2 linked regions of the Elephas maximus indicus genome follow. The protein of the gene in region 1 interacts with the protein of each later gene in a pairwise test. Links are inferred from orthologs where the notes say so. Each region holds a gene or a part of one and is shown in the gene's direction. Other genes may lie near its edges.

Region 1 (8,044 bases):
GAAGCCACGAGTCCAATGCCCCTGGGTCTGCTGGTGGCCCGGCCTCAGAGAAGCCAAGGGAGGGGGCAGGGAAGTCACGGAGGGCACTACCTTTTTCGGAGAAGAGGAAAAAAACAGAGACATTTAATAAGACCCAGAATCAAGAGAACACTTTCCCTTGTAAAAAATGTGGCAGGTAAGATGACAGGCTCTGTCTCCACTGGCTACCTAGCAGGTTGGCTGGCAGTTGGAGGCAGGGCAGAAGCTGGGCTTGTGAGGAGAAGTAAGAGATTTCATCTTGTTTTCTCATTGGCTTAGTGGGTTTCTAGGGGAATGATATCATTTGGCAGCTTTTAGAAGTGAAGGGTGATGGCACTGAATCAGGAACCATCCCTGAGTCAATGCCTGTGAGGGTGTGCCACTGACTCGGAGCAAGTCAGGACGGCTCCATGGGAGCCCCCATCTCTCTCCCTCACACACAGGGTAATCTAGGGGCCCTTGGGGAGTGGGTGGCCCAGACATCTTACTTGAGCTCCCTCCTGCCCGGCTACAGGGTGTTTTACAAGGTGAAGAGCCGCAGCGCCCACATGAAGAGCCACGCAGAGCAGGAGAAGAAGGCCGCAGCTCTGAAACAGAAGGAGAGAGAGGCTGCTGCCGCCGCCGCCGCCGCCGCTGCTGCCGCCGCCGCCGCTGCTGCTCCTGCTGCCACGGCCTCCCCCCACCAGAAGGCTCTGCGAGAAGAGAGCTCCCTGCACCAGCAGGCCCTGAAGGAGGAGAGTGGGGCTGGAGAGGAGGGCTGAGAAGACCTGGAGGGTTCAGCCAGGAGAGCGAGGGGCTGGCCCCCCTCTCCCGGGGCTCCCCTGCCCCTCCCTGCACCAGCCTGCAGAAAGACCAGGAAATGCCTTGGAACCTCAAGAGGGTGTGAGGAGAGAATCACATGGACTTTTTTCTCTGGAAAAAAAGAAAAAATCACACAGTAAAATAAACAGCTCTTTTATTTATAAAGGCCCCAGGAGCAGTGTTAACGGGCAGCAGAATCCAGTTCTCTTTGCATTCGGCCTGTCTTAAGTTGTTCTCATGCTTTCGTGGAAGTCCCTGCTGGGGTTCAGGATGCCCCTTGGAAGGGGCTCTAGCTGCTGCCACCGCTGCCTCTCACACTCTGACCTCTGCTGCCTCTTTCCTTCCTCTTTGCCTCCTTGTCCCCCACTTGGTCTCTAGGAAGTGGCCATGGGGAGCCAAGCACAAGCTCACCCCATCCAGCCATTACTTCCCCTCCCCAGTGGACCTCAAAAGCTGCCAGGCCTTGCCCCAAACCCTGGAAAAAGGGTCTCTGAGAGAGGGCTCGGCCTGGCACCTGTGACTGCCCCCTGCACAGCAACATCCAGGTCTTAGCTGCTCCAGGGACCCTGTCCTCAGAGAGGCCACCTCCTCCTTGCAGGGAGGCCACCAGGATGCCTCATGGGAGAGAGATCGAGGACAGGTACTTATCCCTTTGCTGCTTGCTAGCAGCCCTGCTGGGGGGAGGGGCCCGAGTGCTGTCTGAGCTCTCAGCCTTCTGGAGGGAGGGGAACTGCAGAGGCTGGAAGCTGCAGGGCTGTGTGCAGCCTTAGGTCTGAGGGAGCTTCTGATAAGCCTGGCTCTTCCTGCTTTGCACCTCTTTGCCAAATACCTTGGGCTCTGGAAGCTGCTTAGGGGGCTTAGCTTAGAGGCAGTTCTGGAGAGGCCAGGAGGGAGGATCCCCAGCAGCCCAGCCTGCTCCACCTGGGTGGGCACAGCGCCTCGCCTGCCTCTGTCAGCAGCTGCCTGCCCCCACCTCCAGTGCTGGTACCCACAGCCCAGCCCCCAGCCCTGCACGCTGGAGATTTCTGCATCCTTCCCTGGGAGGGGGAGGTCTCCAAACTAGATTGGAAAGGAGCCTTCATTCCTTGACTCGTGTGATTTGGGAGCTATTTATTTATTCTTAATATTTAATTTTTAACATCCTCTCAGGGACCAGGGGCCTCCTGCTTTCCAGAGGCCCAAGTGCATTTATCCCAAAACAAGGCACCTTCTTGGCACCCCGCTCGCTAAGGCCCTAAGGTCCCCCACCTCTTTGCTCTGAAAGCTCTTGCCAATAGGAATGATAGCAGGACTGAGACAGGGTAGAGTGGAGGGTGTCACCCAAGCAGGAGAGACTAGCAGGAGCAGGGGAGATCAAAGGCAGTTTTCCTCTGCTACCTCTTCCCTGGCTGTACTTTGAAGTTGCCTGAGGAGATTGGCAGGTGGCCAGAATTCTGGTTGAGTTTATCAGGTCTGGATTCTGCTGTAAGAAGCTGAATTTGGCAAGGAGTCACTGAAGTGAGAGGGCTGAAAGGCCCTGGAGGCCCCTTCCCTTGCCAGCCCCATAGGAGGGATGAGTTATTTTTTTGATCTTGTTACTCAACTTTAGTTGTGAAAAAGAAGTTCTAACAAATCAACGTGTTAGGAAGGAGCCGAAAAGTATTCTTTCTGCTGGTCCTCCCAGGAGAGCTTCAAGCCGTCATGTTGGTAACTAGGAGTGGGGAGGGAGTTTTGTTTTTAAACTATGCACTATCAGGTAGTTTTCAGTATTCATTTATGCATTAATGTTGTTCCGCAGGACCCCAACTATAGGAGTAACAAAATTATTCTCCCCCCAGACTCCTGGACAACTACCCTGATTTCCAACTTCCTACTTGTTTTCTCCATGGACTTCTACAAACTCAGTGTCCGGAGATTGCAAAGATCTGGTATACCATCTAGAAGCAGGAGAGTAGCAAATTTAGGCTCTCTTTTAAATCATTTGTGTAATATGAGTGCCTTCAAAGCTTCGCCCCAAAGTGCTCCTTATGTTTCCCAAGGTTTTTTCTACTTAAACTGTATTTTGTTTCAGGCCCCTTTATGGACATGTGGTAACAGAAACCTCCTTCAGGCACGTGAGACCCTTCTGTTCAGTGGTGGCTTCTAGTATTTGGAAATCTTTTTTAATAAGAAAGTGATTCTTTTCTCCTAAGCTTATGGAGACCAGACCAGGTGAATGTAGGTGGGAAAAATTAAGATGGTACCTGTCTGTATTAATCCTCCAGCAGCCTACCCCACCAGACACCGCATTTTAGGAGGGTTCATGCTCCAGGATGGATTTATATCTAGAATGCAATGTGAAAAATTAAACTGTTCAGAGGGCAGATGCAATTGTGGAGTGACCTGCCAATAAGGTAGGTGCAGCCATAGAAGCTGGCATAAGTATATCCTTAATGGTGCTTTCTCCCTGTGAATGCATTAGGTTCCTCTTTTTCTTCTTTTATTCAGAGCTCTTTGCTTTAGGAAGTTAAATGACAAACACCTCCAGCTTTATGTCCTCCTTCTCACACTGTCTCATCACATCCATTTCCCAGGGTCCATCTGCAGTCAGCTAAGGGCGTGAAACTGACCTAGTGCCTGTGTTCCAGACCATTTCTGAGGTCTCTTACCCACCCAGGGAGACAGTGCTGTCCGCACCGTTCTCCATGCCTTCAGCAGCCTCCCTCACAGCTAAGGTACATACCTGCCCCTTCTGCTGCCCCACCTCCTGCTGTGCTAAGTGAGGGCCTCCCCTGGCACAGAGGTTGTGCGCTGCTTATGTCTAAAGGGATCGTCTATATTTAACTGCCTCAGTGACCTAAACTCTTTCTTCTCATGTGCCAGATGTTAAGATGAAGGAGGAATACAACACATCCTTAAGCCTCAGCTGTTTAAATATATTTTCACTGGGACTTACTTTTCTGGGTCGGTATTTATTACCAGACTGGCAAACCTAACTCCTTAGGTTTACAGGAAGTAATACATATTTTTATAAAACAATTCTATGTCCTCCCCACATTTTTCTGTGTTAATATTTGCCTCTAACAATTTGCAGCTGTTTCACCTTTTCCTCATTTGTCTCTAAAGTTGAAGGCCTTGTTGGAGGGGACAGAGCACAGGAACAGCCTTGACAGTCTGTAATTATTGTACAAATATTTTAATAGCATATAAATAAGTATATTCCTTTTATTTTGAGAGAAATGATCAGACACTGCCTTTTGTGTGTTTGCTGCCTGTGGCACCCTTTTTTAAAAAGACTGTTACATATTAAAATAGTGTACATATATATAGAAATATTACCTCTTTTGCTGTACAGTTGTGATAGACGAGACTGAAGATTTTATTTTTTGTGTGCTTTTTATAAAAAAATTAATACACTAAAGAAAATCTTGCTGATGTGATTGTAATGTACCTATGTAACTTATTTACTTTTGAATGTTCCCTCTGTATCTTTAAACCTTTTATTAAATAAGGTTTTAAAAATTCAGAGTTGAATGTTGTGTTCTTTTGGGGGGATTTTCACCATCTGGGATTGACGTCAGTAGGCCTTGTTTTGTTTACAAGGGATTACACTGGACATTTTTGAACCGTAAGGATTCAATTTTTATCAGCCCATTGTCCAGGAGCCAGGAGAGGGGAAATATCATACTAGTGTTTGCCTTCCTACAAAGATGACTGAGTAGAAATAATGTCTTTTACGATATTTTAGACAGGACAAAGTCTAAACTCAACGTCTCAAAAACCATAAATGGCACACTTCCCACATTACAATTTCAATGGGCTGAACCACGGAGGTGCAGAGAGAGTGTGCTCAGGTGGCTCAGCGAGGCCGGGTGCTGAGGTGAGCGTTCTCTACGCAGCATAGACCGGTGGAATGAGCTACCTGAGTAGACAAGTCGGCCACGACGGATGCATTTCCACCAGTATCTTAGATCCACTCCAGAATTAGATTCTTTTAGCAGTATTCTTTCATTATAAAAAAATATATATATGAAAAAAGAAATACACCATCCGAGAGATCAGTGCCAGGAGCCCCTCGCCGGCCCCATGGCAACTGCTCAACGCCGCCCGCCGCCAAAGCGCGCGAATTTCGCGTCGCCTGGGACACCGTTGCCATGGCTACGGAGGGCAGGGGCGGGGCGGGGCGGGCTGGAAGCCGCCTGTCAGGCTTGGCCCCGCCCTCTGCGGCAGTAACGCTCGGCTCGCGGCGGGGAGGACGCGCCGGCTGCTGCGCTCCGCCAGAGACAGCTACAGCACGCGCGCTGCCCTCCGGCCGCTCTTCCTCTCCAGCTTGCCCTGTCCGTATAGCCTCCGCCTTCGGGCCTCGATCCTCGGCCCTCGGTTGTCCTTGCCGCCGAGAGGGGGTCGTCGGGCCCGCGAAGTAGCCGCTCGCGGGCTGACCTCGCGGGCTGATCGGCCGCTGCCGCCTCCACAACTTTGGGACAGCCTCTTCCTCCGGGGGCGTCAGAGTCCTCGTCTGCCAAACAGCCGCTCCTCCCCGGTCTGAAGGCCGCGCTCCGACCGCGGACGCCCAGTCGACTCCCGGAGCAGCAGCTAGCTCCCGGGTGCGGACCGAGGCGACCGCGCCCCAAGACTGCACCCCGGCATCGTCTCCCGCCCGGCGGCTCCTCGTCTGTGCTGCGACTCGCCCCCTGTCTGTAGGCGACGGACCTCGGCCGCGGACCCCGACCGGAGACGCAAGATGGCGGCGGCCGCGTGACTGAGCATCCCGAGGCCTCGCTCCAAGGACGCGCAGACCGACTTAGGGGGAGTACTTTGGGGGGCAGGGAGGAAGGGCGAAAGCAGGACTCTGGTGTCGTTTCTTAATTGTGACTGCGTGAAGCTTGCCTCCCTCGGGCTTTTGGGGGGGGGAGGCTCTGGTATCATTCGTAGCCCTATTGCAGAGTGAGCCACCATCGAACCGGTACTTGTGGAGCCGGCCCCATTTGATAGGTGGGAAGATGGCGATGACCCTGTTGGAAGACTGGTGCAGGGGGATGGATGTGAACTCCCAGAGAGCCCTGCTGGTCTGGGGGATCCCAGTGAACTGTGACGAGGCTGAAATCGAAGATACCCTCCGGGCTGCGATGCCCCAGGTGCCCTATCGAGTGCTTGGGAGAATGTTCTGGAGGGAAGAGAATGCGAAAGCAGCCTTGTTAGAGCTCACTGGCGCTGTCGATTACGCCAACATACCCAGGGAGATGCCGGGCAAGGGAGGGGTCTGGAAAGTGGTCTTTAAGCCCCCGACATCCGATGCTGAATTTTTAGAAAGGTTGCACCTCTTCCTGGCAAGAGAGGGGTGGACAGTGCAAGATGTCGCCCGAGTCCTTGGGTTTCAGAACCCCGCTCCTGCTCCAGGCCCAGAAATGCCGGCAGAGATGCTTAACTATATTTTGGATAATGTTATCCAGCCTCTTGTCGAGTCCATATGGTACAAGAAGCTGACGCTGTTCTCGGGGAGGGACATCCCGGGCCCTGGGGAGGAGGCCTTTGATCACTGGCTGGAGCACACTAATGAGGTCATGGAGGAGTGGCAGGTGTCCGATCTAGAAAAGAGGCGGCGGTTGGTGGAGAGCCTCAGAGGCCCCGCCGCCGATGTCATTCGCATCCTCAAGACCAACAACCCTGCGATAACCTCCGCCGAGTGTCTGAAGGCGCTGGAGCAGGTGTTTGGGAGCGTCGAGAGCTCCCGGGATGCCCAGGTCAGGTTTCTGAACACTTACCAGAACCCGGGAGAAAAGTTATCTGCTTATGTCATCCGTCTGGAGCCTCTGCTGCAGAAGGTGGTGGAGAAGGGGGCCATAGATAAAGATAACGTGAACCAGGCCCGCCTGGAGCAGGTCATTGCGGGGGCCAACCACAGCGGGGCCATCCGGAGGCAGCTGTGGCTGACCGGGGCTGCGGAGGGGCCGGCTCCGAACCTCTTCCAGTTGCTGGTGCAGATCCGCGAGGAGGAGGCCAAGGAGGAGGAGGAGGAGGCCGAGGCCGCCCTCCTGCAGTTAGGCCTGGAAGGGCACTTCTGAGCCTCGGGAAGCGGAGGGGCTTTAGGGCAGACCTAGATCACAGCTGTTCCGTTGTCTGTGTCGTACAGGTGTGTCTCAGATTAGTAAGACTTAGCCATGTTCTGTTTCTTGGGGGGGAAGTCAGGCCTACTTCTTTGTGTAATATTCGTAAAATCGTGCAAGCGAACACCGGGAGCTGCAACAGTACCATAGCGTCCTGCTGGCTGAGATGCCATGTAAAGGCTTGGACACATGAGCTCAGTGTAAGCTGTCATCGTGCCACCATCGTCAGTTGTGAAAAACAAGTGAACCTGTGACACTTGCCATTGAGGTAATTACATGAGAAATTGCATGTTCAGAAGTTTAGTGCAGGGCCTGGTTCATAGGAACATGCTCAGTAAAAGTGTGAAAACCGTTAGTGTTAACTGATACCGTGGATAGTTTTTGTTTACTGTAAATCGTTCCTGATTTAATGGAAAGAAAGGAATTTGCTAGATATTTATTCAACTTCAAAATACAAATTTTCCTGTTTCTCATCTGAATCAGTTTAACTGAAAAGTATTCTGAGACTGCAACATGGAGTATTAGAAAAATACTGTAATTCGATAGTGCTGTGTAAATCAGTTTTTCACTGTACAAGATACAGAAATCGCATGCGGAGGTTGATACGAACCTGTTACAGTTATCCATTTCAGATCCTTATCCAATAGTAGGTCTCCTTGGTCATGCTAATCCTAAGTGTTCTAAATTTGAAGCTATCAAATAGATGTATACTAATAAAAATATTTTAAAAATTCTATTGTCTTCTAGTTTTCTTGTATAAAAATTTCCCGTGTAAGCTCTGTATCCTGTTTTCTTAGGACATTCCACATGTCATTAAAAAAATCAAACCTCATTTCTATCTATCTTTTTAAACTTTGTATCATATTATGGGTTTAAATTGTAATTTAATGCATTCAGTTTTTACGTGTTTTCTTCAAGGCAAATATTAGAAGGTAAAATAGACATGTTAAGTAAAATAGTAACTTACAAAATATTAGGAAATTCTGAAATGAGCCTTAGGGAGGTTATCTGGCAATCCTTTTTATCCCTTTTTAAATCTCTTCAGCTAAACATTTTTGTTTCATTGAAGAAGTAACTATGACTCATTATATACCTATGTAAAATGACTCTTGGAATTATACAGCAGCCATTTTATATCAAGAGCTTAAAAAGGAAAATATGAC
Region 2 (7,087 bases), on another chromosome or scaffold:
GGGAAATTGGAACCCTTATCCATTGCTGGTGGGAATGCAAAATGGTACAGCCGTTGTGGAAAAGAGTGTGGCAGTTTCTCAAAAAACGAACAACAGAACTATCATACGACCCAGCAATTCCACTCGTAGACTTGAAAGCAGAGACTCAAAAAGAGACTTGTACACTAATGTGGAAACAACCTAAACCCTCATTAACAGATGAATGGATAAACAAAATGTGGGATACCACTCAGCCAGCAGGAGAAATGAAGTCTTGGTACACACTACAATATGAATGGACTTTGAAGACATTATGCTGAGAGAAATAAGCCAAACACAAAAGGACAAATATTATATGACCTCACTTATATATTAAAAAAAAAAAACAAGAAAAAGCAACTGTATGGAGATCAAAGTTTATTAGTGGTTTCCAGGGGCAGAGGTAGGGTGGAAAAGGGGTGTTAACGGTGGTGGAAAAATAGTATTGATTCAGGGTAGGGTTGCGCAGCTGGTTATCGTAATTGCTGTCAATAAATTGTACACTTGTAAAAAGTTGAATTGGTAAAAATTATGCGATAGAGATATTTACAACAATGGCAAAAAAAAAAAAAAAAAGAGTAGCTGCTGAGGCCGCTTAGGTACAAGCAAACACCTCACTGGATTTGGTTCCTTGGCTTGGAGGCTCAAGGGCATGGTTTCCTGGAGCATTCCAGTTAATTGGCCTGATAACGTGCCTAGTGCTTCTGACCTACCTCCTACTTCACTGTGTTGTGTCTGAGATCTTAAAAGCTCGCAAGCAGACATCCAAGGCACAATTGTTCTCTATTCACCTGAAGCAACAGAGGAAGAGGGAGAGTCAGGAATGGAAGGAGGATATGAAATGTGTGGCTAATTGTCTCCTTGAACAATTGCCCCTTTTGCCAAGATACCAGAATTGGATGGTGCCTGGCTACCATTACTGAGCATTTTGATCAAAGATTCCATAAAGAATCCTTATCAAAAGGGGGAAAATGCAGACCAGAATTTCAAATTCTCACGGACTCTAGAATTTCTGGAGCCATGGCGAGTGGATGAACCCCTAAAACTATTGCTCTGAGATAATCTTTAAACTTTAAACCAAAAATATTCCCTGCGGTCATCTTAAAACCAAACCATAGTTCAGTGGGTTATATCTGTCAGTATTTAACATACTACAAATTAAAGCTGAGAAAGCTGAAAAAAAAAAACTTATGAATTCATTTAATAATTACGATACTCACCTCATTTTACATGTTAACATAAATGACACGTTTTTGTCAAAATAACTATATTTTACAAACAAAAATACCTAGTGACAAGAGGGACATTGTTTTATACTTTTGCAAATGTTTTTAATGTCTGTCTTAATAAACAGCAGCTGCACTTTCATACCTGCTTCTTTGGTCAATCTGTTGTAATGCGTTTCCTTTGAGGTGTATGAAAAAATTCCCAGCCTCACACAGGTGTGCAGTTGGAAAAGGAGGAGTATTTCAATAGCCTTTTCAGATAATTGTGGGTATCCTTCTTGGGTACTATACCAAAACTTGTCTGGTGGCACAATGGCTAAGAGTTCGGCTGCCAACTGAAAGGTTGGTGGTTCAAGCCCACACGATGGCTCCATGGGAGAAAGACCAGGCGATTTACTCCCATAAAGATTACAGCCTAGAAAACCCTATGGGTCAGTTCTTGACTTGATGGCACCCAACAACAACTTGCAATGCAGAATCTGAAACCATATGGATGAAGTTTTCATACTGTTACATTAAAATCCATTGATATTGCTCTGTCCCATGGGGTCGCTCTGAGTCAGATGGCAGTGGGTTTGGTTTTTCGTTGGGTAATCATTACAATAGCTTTGTGAGATACATAATATCAGCCGAGCTCTGGAGACTACATCCTGGCCAGAGTGTGAAAGGAATGGCATTTGGCATCCTGATTGGTCAATTCCACCCCCCCGCAAAAAAAAAAGCTTCTGAAAAACAGTTATGGGGTGGAGGCAGGAATGTGAGAGAGGTGAAGAAAGAGGGCCTAGAGTTGGTGGAGGTATGGGGCTTGGAGGTGGGGGAGGGGAGGAGGGGCAGCGGTATAGTGTTTACCAGAAACAAAGGCAGGGCTGTGTTGGCTCCTGCTTCCGTCTGACATTCTAGGCCAAGCCTGGGCAGGGATTGGAAGGGGTGGTCATAGTCCATCATGACCTCTGAGGGGCTAAGATTAACATCAACAAAAGCCAGCTGCCCAGTTGTTTCTATATATGTCTGAACACATTGTTGGGGGGGAGAGTGGTTCATCACCTATGTCAAGGTCGGCTAGTGGCTGTGGCTGCTCCTCCCTGGGTGTGGGGGGGGCAGGGGAGCTGGTGCCCGGACACTGTAGATGCCAAGAACTTGAACTAGGTGGCTTTCCAACCCCTGTGTCCTTCACCATGAGCTCCCCCACTGTATTTCAGAGCCCCAAGGAGAAATACGGTTGACTGCTCCTTGGAAACCCTACGGGGCAGTTCTACTCTGTCCTATAGGGTCGCTATGAGTTGAAACCAACTCGACGGCACCGAACGACAACAACGAGGAGAAAGAACCCCTTCTAAGTTGTGAGGGGCAATTTTCTGCACTGCCTCTGATCAGAAGATTCTTCTCCTTGATGTTCATTTGTTTATTCAATGAAAATTTTATTGGACACCTACTATGTGTCAGGCACTGTGCTAGGCACTGAGGATACAGCACATGAGTTTCTCCCAGATTAGAAAATAGTTGACTTTGCTATCGTGTATTACGTAGAAGAAAAGAGGGAAGCACCAGGGCTGTGGAGGCTGGTGGAGGGGCACTTAATTCAGCCAGGTGGTCAGGGCAGGCTTCCTGGAGGAGTGAGTGCTCCGGTAAGACTTGGAGGAGGCAGGAGGCAGCTAACCTGCGATATGGTGGGCGGGGAGGGCCTTCTGAGAAGCCTCTGCTGCTCTGGGACTGTGAGCAAGTCAGTGTGGCTGGAGTCAGGGGAGTGTGGAGGCTGGGTTGGGGGAGGAGTGGAATCAGGAAAGAAAATGGGCGACCTAGGGGAGTGACCTAATCATGTTCTCATTTTAGAAAGGTGGTTCAGTGGGGAGGGTGACCCTCCTGTAGATGTTGGTGAGAGCAGCTAAACGTGAGTGGTCTGAGCAGAGATGGTGGCTGGGTCGGTGGAGGAGGGCAGACCAGGGAGACCCCTGAGGGGAGCAGGACTGAAGTTGGCCTTCAGCTGACCTCCCGAGTGAGGGGGGAGCGGAGGGGGATGGCCCTGGATTTCCAGTTTGGCTGAGGGTGGTGGCTGTGCCATTTTTTATGATGCAGAGAAGAGAATGAGGAGCCCACTGGAGAGGTGGACTCTGGGTTCAGTTGGGACCAGTGAGGGGTGGGGGCTTGTAGATGCCTGAGCGACAGTGTTGAACAGGCAGCCCTGCACACGCGTCTCATGCCCGGGAAGCCGGGCAGGGGATACCGATTTGGCACCAGGGAAGGATAGCAGGCTGGGATTCTGTCCCCACTGACTCACCCTTCTCTCTTAGCCCTGGGACCAAGTTCATCCCTTTGACGAAGTCATTTCTGTCCCTCACCATCTGCTACGTGGCAGAACCAACAGTGAGGAAGCAAAGAGAGCATTGGGAAATTTGAGAGCTGTGTCCAGGTGCCCCAGGCCATCCACCAGGCCTGGCAGCCACATTTCCAAGTTCACTATTGTATCCCCCAGGACCTGGGACAGTGCTGGGGACACAGGGAGCCTCCATAAGGTGTGGCTTAGTGGCATCACTAGGGTTGATGTCACCCAGTGTAGTAACTGATGGTGTCACCTCCCCCATGGCAGGGCCAAAGACTGCCCTGCGTGCCCCCGCCCCTCCCGGCCCCGCCCCCCCGTGACTCCTGCAGTTCCTCCCCTCTCCCGTTGGCCAAGGTGGAGGCAGCCTGCACCCTGACTGGTGGGTGATGGGAGTGGGGTGGTGGTGACGCGTTACCATACTGGGTGACGGCTGACATCAACCCTAGTGACATCACTGCCTTGGTGGCCCCTTCCCTGGCAGCTCCCGCCTGACGCCGCCGACCATGCGGTGGACCCTGGGGTCAATGTGGTGTCACCGCCTGACAGTGTCAGGGGGTGTGGTCCGCACCTCCCACAGTGATGCCACTGGTGTGGCTGAATGAATAAATGAATGAATGAATGGAAGGCTGGGTGTTCCGGGACCTCCAGCTTTCTCTGGGAGGCCGGGATGTATGCAGGTCAGTGGCAGGAGATGGGCCAGATAGCTGGGCACCTATTGGTTGTGTTGCCGGTGAAAATCGCAGGTTTTGCCCCTGGTGACTTGTTACAGCCAATAAACAAGAGGCCAAGGAGGGAGATCAGAAAGACGCCTTTACTTCATTGTAGAAGGAAAGGAGCAATCCGGGCTGTTGTCTCTAAGACTGCTGTAGGCAGCCCAGGGAAGTGGGCTTTCACAAAGAGCAGACAAGGAAATATAAATTCATTATGAATATTCAGGATTGACCTTCCCGCAGGTGCTCAGGGCTTGGGCGTGACTATGGATTTTCTTTAGACAAAGGGTTTGATCCCCCAGGATGGAGGAAGGGATGATTTTTTCTTCATTAGGATGTTAAGTCTCCACCCAGAGGCTGGTTGAGGCCATCTGCGGTTATCTTGTCAAGGACAATTTCAGAAGAAGGGGCAGCTTATTTTGCTCAGTGTAGGTGGACAAGTCAGAGCAGGTATTTCTCAGAAAGGTTGGGCTCTGAGGCTGCCTGCCTCAGCTGGGCTGTGTGCGCCCGACTCAAGGGAACCTACTGAGGGGTGAGCACAGACTGAAGTCAAGCTGTTTATTTGAAGGGCTGTGTCCTCCCAGAGGGGTACCTGTTTCTAATTGATAGCCTGTAGTTATGCCAACCCATATACTAATTGATATACACGTGGCAGTGGCAGTTCAATGGTAAAATTCTCACCTTCCATGAGGGGGACCTGAGTTCAATTCCCAACCGACGCGCCTCATGTGCAGCTGTCACCTGTCCATCAGTGGAGGCTTCTGTGTTGCTATGATGCTGAACTGGTTTCTGTGGAAATTCCGGGTTAAGATGGACTAAGAAAAAAGGCCTGGTGATCTACTTCCAAAAATCAGCCAATGAAAACCTGATGGACCACAATGGTCTGATCTGCAAGGGGGATGATGCAGGACTGAGCAGCGTTTCTTCTGTTGTGCGTGACCATGAGTCGGGGCCAACTTGACGGCAGCTAACAGCGACAATAACTACAGAGGTTCCTGGACCAGCAGCAACGCCAGAGAACTTGGTCGAAATGCAAATCCTGGGCTTCGCCCCAGACTGTGAATCAGACATTCTGGGGTGGGGCCCATAAACCCATTGATTCTGACTCATCCTAAACGACAAAGTAGAACTGCCTCATAGAGTTTCAAAGACTGTAAATCTTTATGGAAACAGACTGCCACATCTTTCTTCCTAGGAGAGGCTGGTGGGTTCCAGTCACTGAACTCCTGGTTAGCAGCCGAGTGTTGTAACCACTGTGATACCAGGGCTCCAGGGGTGGGGCCCAACATCTGTGTATGACAAGCCCTCCAGGGGATTCCAATGCTCCGTGAAGTTTGTCTGGGGGCACCATCCTGAATCCTGAGGGGATAGAAATGGAAGTCCCATTACTGGCCCCTGAGACAGCTTTCTCAGATGGAAGGTAAAACTGCACACCTGAAAAGACAGGTGAGGCAATGTCCAAAACCAAGAGGGTGGTGGCTCTGACAAAAAAAATCCTGTGGCAGTTCTTTGTTTTATGTTTTGTTTAGCTTTGAAGCTCCTAAAGTTCTCATAGTTTGGACCATTGAACTTCAGTCAAACAGATGAGACTTTTGACCACGTTGAACAGTTTTTAATAAAACTCCAAAAAAAAAAAGTACCATATGATCCAGCAATCCCGCTGTTTGGAATATATCCTAGAGAAATAAGAGCTGTCCCATGAATATATTTATGCACACCCATGTTCATTGCAGCACTGTTCACAATAGCAAAAAGATGCAAACAACCTAGGTGCCCATCAGCACACGAATGGATAAACAAATTATTGTATATTTGTTACTGGAATAAGGTTCTTGCCTCTCACTGGTCAAGAATGAGCAGTTTTCCACACGAGCAAAGCTTTATTGAAGAGGCTTGCAAATGGAGACAAAGGAGGGCCTAGAGCAACGCTTACTCTCATCTCACAGAACAAACGACGGGCGAGTTTTTAAAAGTTCTTGGGAGGGGAAAAGATTCATGTTTATTCAGAGACACAGGCGGGGGTATGTTAACTAAGGCGCATGCAGCTTTCCAAGATGGCTCCTGTCCTGGAGGCCTCTGGGCAGGACTTATTATGGGGTGTCACACCTGCGCAGTCTCCCACTCCCCAGGCTCGACCTGGCTGGGGCTGTAGCCCCTCACTGCCCCTGGTGGAAGGTCACACAGGGATCACAGGTGGATGTTCTGTGCAAGTCCCGGGGGCCTGGTTTTCTCCAGCTGCTTCTGAAATGCAACTTTAAAGAAGTTTGCGGGCTATTTTTAGATACCCGGCCTCTCTGTTCTGGAGAATGACTTTGTTTCTGCGCCCTGGCCTATTTCTTGTTATTTTGTTTGCAGATTTGGGGGCCTCTCTGTTCTCTGTCTTACTAAGTCTCTAGGTTCCACACTCAACCTCCTATTACCTCCCTGATAAAGCATAGCCTATTTCTCTTGTTTCTCCTCTAACCATAGCAGTGTCTTCTCTATTTCTCAAACAGGCATCCTGCGATCTTAGGGCCTTTGCCGCCTGTCTTATATTCACACAGTGGGATACTACACAACAATAAAGAACAATGATGAATCTGTGAAACATTTCACAACATGGATGAATCTGGAAGGCATTATGCTGAGTGAAATGAAACAGTTGCAAAAGGACAAATATTGTATGAGACCACTGTTATAAGAACTCAAGAAAAGGTTTAAACACAAAAGAAAACATTCTTTGTTGGCTACGAGGGCGGGGAGGGAGGGAGAGAGAGAGAGAAAAAAAAAACCCTGTGCAGGAGAGATCTGTGGGACCTTCAGGAAGAGGTAGCTTT

What was found. The genes of interacting proteins can lie anywhere in the genome.
Region 2: the proteins of PNMA1 (region 1) and TNNI1 interact in binary tests that used the Homo sapiens proteins (3 or more experiments, as listed by UniProt). The two-hybrid records come from large-scale screens. The link is inferred for Elephas maximus indicus from reciprocal best matches to the Homo sapiens genes PNMA1 and TNNI1.

The regions. Positions count from the first base shown.
Region 1 is NC_064828.1:86,445,054-86,453,097, reverse strand, and holds PNMA1 (paraneoplastic antigen Ma1), read left to right. Parts: upstream 1-5,015; 5' UTR 5,016-5,777; coding exon 5,778-6,839; 3' UTR 6,840-7,589; downstream 7,590-8,044. Other genes in the region: MIDEAS (mitotic deacetylase-associated SANT domain protein), read left to right, coding at 1-175, 533-779.
Region 2 is NC_064836.1:9,948,976-9,956,062, reverse strand, and holds the start of TNNI1 (troponin I, slow skeletal muscle), read left to right. Parts: upstream 1-4,064; coding exon 4,065-4,149; intron 4,150-7,087. UniProt on the Homo sapiens protein: Troponin I is the inhibitory subunit of troponin, the thin filament regulatory complex which confers calcium-sensitivity to striated muscle actomyosin ATPase activity.